Macaca fascicularis: one gene and its partner. The protein of the gene in region 2 purifies or fractionates together with the protein of the main gene of each other region. This does not show direct contact. Links are inferred from orthologs where the notes say so. Each region holds a gene or a part of one and is shown on either strand. Other genes may lie near its edges.

Region 1 (4,213 bases), on a different chromosome or scaffold from region 2:
AAAAGTAAAACCCCAAGTGATTATAAAACCATATGTAATAACATCAAAGAGCAAATAAACTTTGTATAACTGCTGAAACTTTTTCCCTTTTTTTTTTTTTTTTTGGATAGCTGGCTGCAGCCTCAAACTTCTGGGCTCAAGTGATCCTCCTGCCTCGGCCTTCCAAGTAGCTGGGCACCACCATGCCCAGTTAGTTTTATACTTTTTGTAGAGACAAGGTCTCTCACTATGTTGCCCAGACTGGGCCAAAACTCTTTTTTTGGTGGAGAGGGGACAGAGTCTCACTGTCTCACTATATCGCCCAGGCTGGTGATGAACTCCTGGGCTCCAGCGATCCTCCCAGGCGTTGAGCTACTGTGCTGGGCCAAAACTCTAATTGAAAAAAATTTTTTTCTAATTTATCTTGCAGTTTTAGTCCTTAAGATCTCTCATTCTACCTCAGTTTCTTTTCCTAGACAGTTGTTATATGTTCACTTTTCTTAAAGATTCAGCACACACCTATTATTTGTTAAACCTTTCAACTCACCCAAATATAACTGCATTCCACTGCATGATGTTGTTTTCAGATGGTGCACCACTGACACCCACAGGTGGGTCCTCTTGTAACCTAGAAATCCAGCGTTGTAATTTAAAAAGTTGAACATTAAGGCCACTAAGGAGGCCACATAAACACCTACAGACACTACACCATCTATTTTGAGACACAGACTAACTCCATTTCCTTGTTATTGTGAACTAAAATGAACCATATGACTTAGATATATTAACCAGGTATATATACTTATTAAATACCTCTCCAAATTACCTAAAAATCCGAAGGGCTTGAGAATCATCCCTCTTTCAATATTATCAAGAGTATCTCTTCAAGAATTGATGTATATAGACTGTCCTCTTATACCAAAAAAAGTTTAAAACCTCAAAAGCAAGTAATATTTTTACAGAACCATTGATTTTGCTGCTCTAAACATGCAAAGACTGTGTATCCTAACCACGGCTACTTCTGCAAAATGGCTACAAGAAAAAAAAAAAAAGCAAACCTCAGTGTAAACACGAAATGACTGAAAACACATTAAATTTAACTAGGAAACTAGTATTAGGCAGCAGATTTACTCTATCCCTTTTGCTTCAAACAGCAATGGCTTTAAAAAGTAATCAGTAGGTTTTCCGCCAGTCCCTATTTTAAAGGCTCTGCACTAACATCAAATCTACCTCTCAAATCAGGAGACTCAATACAAGGCTTTCCCACATTCGTCATAGTCAAATTCTTGTAACCTATAGATCTCTGGAAAACTACAAAAGGTGCCATGTATTCAACTCAGAATTAAGCAGAGCATTACAGTAAGGAGCCAGGGCGACAATGACATGAACTAGTTTACTATCTGAATTTTAGTCATGAGTGCTAATCAGATACACTGATTTCAAGCTTTAGAAAAATGACTTTTGCACCAAAAAGGGCATCTCCTTTCAGAGACTGTAACCTCAATTAAAAATGCTACATTATACACACTCACAAATACATATGGAGTTGTTTTCATGGGGCATCATAATTTGCAACTAGTCCACATAAAAAAAAAGGTTTTTAGTCAATCTCAAGCAAATTAGGCCACCACAAACAGAAGCCTTAGAGGAACTGCACTGCTTGACGCCTACCTTTAAATGGCTAAGAGAAGCTACGAATGAATTAAATAAGTTGGCCAAATCCAAATGCCTCACATAGGCTTTATAATAGCTGAGAGGTGACTTCCTGAGCGACAAATCTATGTTTTTATGCTATTTTGTTCAATTAGGGTAGGTGTCCCCAGAAAAAATTTTAAGAAAAATGTGCAGAATATCAAAATGTTTTCTCACTTATTTTGTTTTTTCTACGTTATTTTGTTTTTTCTACGTCTCTAAGTATCCAATAAAAGGTAAACTAACGGAATAATCATTTTCTTCCTCACAACCCCAATACCTCCTAACAAAACCCTATTTTATTTACCAAAGAAGGCCCAGGGAGTATCAAATTAGCGCCAGTCTAAGGGAAGGCATTTTTCCAGACTCGGGAGGCTATAGATAGGGCTTTCTTCACCAGCCAGATCTGAGTTCCAGAAGGCACTGGCAGCCGGGGTGGCCAGCTCTAAGGTCCCAGATCTCTAAGTCAGTTCCCAAGGTCTTTTCAGGCGGGCGGGGACAGAGTCGGGTTTCGGGGGATGGGTTAACCTCCGAGCCTCACGCACTGGACCCCACCCTCACGGCAGAAATGGAAAGGACTGGCGAGGGTGGGGGGCTGGGGAGGTTCACCCCAACCCGGCTCCTCGGAGAAGACTGAGGGGCCGTGAAACAAAGCTGACTGGTGCTGCCGGAGAAGAACAAGCTCCCGCGGGAGCTCACTTTGAGGGGACAAGAAAGGGTCTCCGCAGGGTGCAGGGGCGGGAGGATGATGTCTGATCCCCGTCTGATCCCCTGGACGAGACCCCGGGCAGCTGGCCGAAATGGGCAGCGGGGAACCCTAGACCAGTCGATCGACATCGTTTTACTTTTTGGGGGGAGGGGAAGCAGTATCGAAATTTCTTCGGGCGCCAGAGCGAGCGGCAAGGATAAGGAGAGTAGGGGCCGAGGTAGGACCCGGCTTCCGCCAGTCCCCCTGGGCCCACAGCCGGCCCTCTGAGGGTCACAAGGGGAAGGTGTCCGGGATCCACGCCCTGCAGCCCCGCAGCTTTGAGAGGCCGTCATCTATGCGAAGCTGAAGGCCCTTACCGCTTGAAATCCCGCATAAGCCTCCTTCGGGCCGGGGTCGACATGCTCCGCAGCTGCCCCGCGGTCAGTCTGAAAGAAAAGAGTCCCGCGCAGCCCCCCCACCCCCCGGCGCGGCGGCCGAATCACTGTGGATCGCCGCTGCCGCCGCCGCCGCCGCCGCCGCCGCCAAGACTGACAAACAACCCTGCAATGACGTCTCCCTCCGCCGCCTCCGGATCCCTCCGCCCTCCGCCGCTACCACAGAGTGAGTGCTGGGGGAGGAGGGGGCGGGACGGGGGAGCGCGCGTTCCCTGAGCCCTTCAGCGGGGCGTGGTTCTTCCTGGGCTTCCTGAAGTGATCGACAAATTTGTGTTCTCTGTGTTCAGACTAGAGGTTGTGGATTCAGAGACCACGAAACCGACACACTATCCTGTCTGCCTCCCCGTCTCTAGTTTAGGCTCGGCGGGGTGGAGAAAGAAGGACGTATCCGGGCCAGGGATTTCAGGGAAAGGAGGTGGGATGATGTAAGATCACGTGACTGCCCGCGGCCTTGTCAACAATCCACCCCTGAGGGGGAGGGGGAGAAGTATCTAGAACCACGTGTCCCTGTGACGCGTTTAGAACGGGTCACGTGAGAGCCTCGCCTGGATGTGAGTTTCGGCCAGGTCTGTGAAGCGGGTCTAAGAGGGTGAGGGCTGGATACACCTTTATTAGTTGTTTTCGGTTTATCACAGGTATAGAGACATTACCCAAGAGGTCGTGGGAGGATCAACAGCTTGTTTTGTTTTCTTTAAACCGGGACCAAAAATAACTCCCCTCTGGTTGGTTCAGTGGCTTATGAACTCTGGTACTTGGGGCAAGAAGAGAGAGGATCGCAAGATCTTCTAAGGCAGCATTGAATACTGAGGGCCACACAACAATCTCCTGAAATGGTTCCTTGAAGCTACCAAATAGTCTTTCTGCTTTGCAGTGGGGTTTCTAGTATTGGAAATTCTGGGCAAACATTAAAGGATGGTGTATTATGCAGTTTTTCCTTTCTGGGTCTGCTTTCAATTGAAGATATGTGTCAGAGTCCGGGGACTTGCCTATGGGGGGGAGTACCATTGTATTTTTAAGAATGTGGGGGTGCAGTCTTCCAAGCATATCAATGAGTGGTTGGTTGTCAAAGAAACCTACAAATATGATTCATATGTGGGGGAGAGCTCCAGCAGACCTGAGTGAGGGTTATCTATCCAGCCTGAGACAACTTCAGGTTTTTTACACTAGCAAGAAAGGTGCAAATGGGCGAGAAGTGCCCCCCCACCACCAGGGGGTTCAGAGGTGTTGACCTCCCACAGACCTTGAATATTTTTTGTAGTTACTGTCTTTCCCTGTATTGCTGCTAATTCCTACTTTCAGGACTTTGTTATACTAAGGACTCTGAGTACTTTTGTATCCATTTGGGGAATTGTTCGGTTCAACAGGTAAAGGGAGGGTGGAATGAGGACCTTAGCATTGC
Region 2 (3,645 bases):
TTTTCCTTCATTTCTTTTTACATTAATTCTATTCTGATTCTGTAGTAAAGTGTGCTCTACCAGATCCTAACAAGATGTGTCTCAACTGTTATTGTACAGGTTGCACATCTCTAATCCAGAAATCTGAACTTTGGAATGTCCCTATGAGCATTCCTTTTAAGCATCATGTTGGCACTCACAAAGTTTCAAATTACGGAGCATTTCAGATTTCAGGTTTTAACATTAGAGATAGTCAACTTGGATTAACAGTTGAGATGCATTTGTTATGATCTGGTAGAGCATGCTTTACTACAGAATCCAAACAGAAGTAATACAAATATTCCAAACTCTAAAGAAATTCAAAACCCAAAGCACTTCTGGTCCCAAGCATCTCAGATAAGGGATACTCAACCTATATCTCTTAGTTCTGGTAAATACACTGTCCATAAAAGTCAGAAGACTAGAGATTATCTGTCCTGTTTGTTTGCTTTTACACATCCGGAAATAACACTCCAATTTTATTAGGTTGGACCACATGAAATGTCCGTTTATAAGTCAAAAATGGTTGAATATCCAATTTCATGTGATTGCACCCTGATGTCAGAAAACTCTTAATAAATGGAACAGTAATCCTCAACCAGAAGTATACATCAGAATAACCTTGGGAACTTGAAAAAATACTCAGGCCACTACCTACTGAATCTAATTTCTCTAAAGTTAAAGCCCTAGCATGTCTATCGCCTCAAAATTCCCCCAAGTGATTTTGATACGATTAAGAACTACTGTCTAAAATAATCCCCCCTTCCGTTTAACTCCATTTCTTGTCTTGGCAATAGGTAAAGTAGTGAAAGGCCACACCGTGTTACCCGGGCTAGGCAGGTATGTGCACATGGAAGTGCCTCGTAGTATAATATGACCTAAATTAATGGAGCTTTTTTTTAATTTTTCCCTTTTTTTCCAGATATCCAAGAGAATCTAACAAATTAATAAACCTTCCAGAGGATTACAGCAGCCTCATTAATCAAGCATCCAATTTCTCGTAAGTTTTGCTGTTAGCATTGAACATCCCTGCCACTGGAAACACCTCTCTACAAAGAATTTGAAGGATTTTGTTGTTGTTCTTTGTTTTGTTTGGGTAGAGAAATCATATTTTAGTACTTTATGAGAGGAGGGAGAGAAAAAAGGGAAAAAAGAAGAAACTTGACCAGGCTCAGTGGCTCACACCTGTAATCTGAGCACTTTGGGAGGCCGAGGTGGGTGGATCACCTGAGGTCAGAAGATCCAGCCTGGCCAACTTGGTGAAACCCTGTCTCTACTAAAAATACAGAATTATCTGGGCGTGGTGGCAGGCACCTGTAATCGCAGCTACTCGGGAGGCTGAGGCGGGAGAATCACTTGAACCCGGGAGGCGGAGGTTGTAGTGAGCCAAGATCGAGCAATTGCACTCCAGCCTGGGTGACAAAAGCAAAACTCTGTCTCAAAAAAAAGAATAACATCTGTAGTACTCTATACTACGTAACTTATAAAAGCATCATTTCACTGTGTTTCAGAATAAGACATGGAATGGGAGTAGGAGGAGCAAGTTCGATTCATGAATGTTTAATAATTGCACCTAAAGTAATAACAGCCCTTAGTAATTTTTTTTTTTTTTTTTTTTTTTTTTTTTGAGACCAAGCCTCGCTCTGTCACCCAGGATGGAGTGCAGTGGTGCCACCTTGGCTCACTGCAACCTCCGCCTCCCAGATTCTAGTGATTCTCGTACCTCAGCCTCCTGAGTAACTGGGATTACAGGCACGTTCCACAAGGCCCAGCTAATTTTTTTTGTATTTTTAGTATCACCTCGGCCTCCCAAAGTGCTGGAATTACAGGCGTGAGCCACTATGCCCAGCAGTAATTTTTAATATAGTATCAAATATTTAACATACAAGCAGCATAAAGAATAATAGGGGAGGCTGAGGTGGGAGTATCACTTGAGCCCAGGAGTTGGAGGCTGCGGTTAGTCATGATCGTGCCACTGCACTCTAGCCTGGGTGACAGCGAGACCTTGTCTCAAAAAGAAGAATATAATAATGTAAGAGCTTAAACATTACCTAGACAGTTGAAGCTCCCCAGCTGTCTCTTCTCTGTTGCCTCTTCCTCCTCCCTCTGAAGATACCTACTATTCTAAATGGAATATTAAGCATTCTATTCCTATACATTAACCATAATAGGTTTATGTTCCTAAACAGCATATATTGTTATTTTGCATGTTTTTATTTTTTACTCTTTTTTTTTTTTTGAGACAGAGTGTCACTCTGTTGCCCAGGCTGGAGTACAGTGGTGTGATCTTGGCTCACAGTAACCTTCACCTCCCAGGTTCAAGTGATTCTCCTGTCTCAGCCTCCCAAGTAGTTAGGACTACAGGTGCGCGCCACCATGCCTGGCTAATTTTTGTATTTTTAGTAGAGACGGAGTTTCACCATCTTGGTCAGGCTGGTCTCAAACTCGTGACCTCAGTTGATCCACCCACCTTTGCCTCCCAAAGTGCTGGGGTTACAGGCGTGAGCCACTGCACCCAGCTGATTTTGCATTCATTCAGCACTGTTTCTAAGATTTATCTGCATTGACATGTATAACTTTATTGATTTTTCACTGCTCTACAGTATTTTATTATATGGCAGTGGCACCATTTATCTTTTTCTTCTATTGATGATTTTATTTATTTTTTTCTCCAGTTATTGATTCTTTTGAGTGTTTCCAGTACATGGTCTCTGTATATATGTGCAAGGTGTTTCCTATTCCTGATTCTAGGAATAAATTTGCATAGACTGTAGGATATACGCTGCTTTGGCTTTACTTGATATTGCAGAATTCTTTTCTGGGCTGGTGTTTTCTTCACTAGCTTTTTAGCCACTCTTTAGATCAATGACTTGTGGGTTTTTTATCCCTTGGAGGTGCCCCAAATCAGGTGGTGATAAGAGCAGAGCCCCAACTCTGTGCCTTGTGTGTGGATCTCTGCTGTGCTCCCAGAGTTACTGCTGCCAGACTGAGCTGGAAGGGGAGGATGTAGGAGCCTGCACAGCTCACACCTACTCCTGTGGCTCTGGAGTGGGCATCTTCCTGAGGTAAGGACCTGCAGGGGCTTTTTGGCTTTGGATCTGCCTCAGTATCTGACTGTTAGGGTGTCACAGGAAGCTATTGCATTGCCAGGAATTTTGAGAGCACTGTTCTGTGTTTGATTCATTCCAGAAACATGGAGCTCCTCGTCTCCTCACATCTCACATTTGGCCCGTGCCAACTCTGTGTTGGTTCTTTTATTGTCACCATTCCCACTCCTCTTCCCCCAACCATAGGCGACAGTTCTGTACTACTTTCTTCACGTCTCCCGCTAACATGAAACCTCTGATTTTGTGTACAAATCCAGTCAGAATTACTTTCTGTTGTGTCCTCATGTCCTCATGGCTTTTGGATTTTACCTCCATTCGTACATATTATCACAACTCTACATGCCAGCTTGTGATTAGTGACTACTATGTACTAGGCATTGAGAATGCAATAGTCCGCAGTGCAAAGATCTCTGCCCTCATGGATGGAGCTCGTTTTCTAATGAGAGAGAGGACAAGCAAGACTGACAAGAATTTAGATAGTGACACATGCTAAGGAGAAAAAATAAAGCAGGGAGGGGAA

What was found.
Region 1: the proteins of UBR2 (region 2) and UBE2B purify together in Homo sapiens (affinity purification with western blotting; 3 studies listed by BioGRID, with this or other methods). This does not show direct contact. The link is inferred for Macaca fascicularis from reciprocal best matches to the Homo sapiens genes UBR2 and UBE2B.

Annotation. Positions count from the first base shown.
Region 1 is NC_088380.1:140,910,693-140,914,905, reverse strand, and holds the start of UBE2B (ubiquitin-conjugating enzyme E2 B), read right to left. Parts: upstream 2,910-4,213; 5' UTR 2,781-2,909; coding exon 2,737-2,780; intron 608-2,736; coding exon 527-607; intron 1-526. UniProt on the Homo sapiens protein: E2 ubiquitin-conjugating enzyme that accepts ubiquitin from the ubiquitin-activating enzyme E1 and transfers it to a E3 ubiquitin-protein ligase. In vitro catalyzes 'Lys-11'-, as well as 'Lys-48'- and 'Lys-63'-linked polyubiquitination.
Region 2 is NC_088378.1:128,860,062-128,863,706, reverse strand, and holds part of UBR2 (E3 ubiquitin-protein ligase UBR2), read left to right. Parts: intron 1-815; coding exon of another isoform or gene 816-819; exon of another isoform or gene 820-853; intron 854-940; coding exon 941-1,018; intron 1,019-2,912; coding exon 2,913-3,083; intron 3,084-3,645. UniProt on the Homo sapiens protein: E3 ubiquitin-protein ligase which is a component of the N-end rule pathway.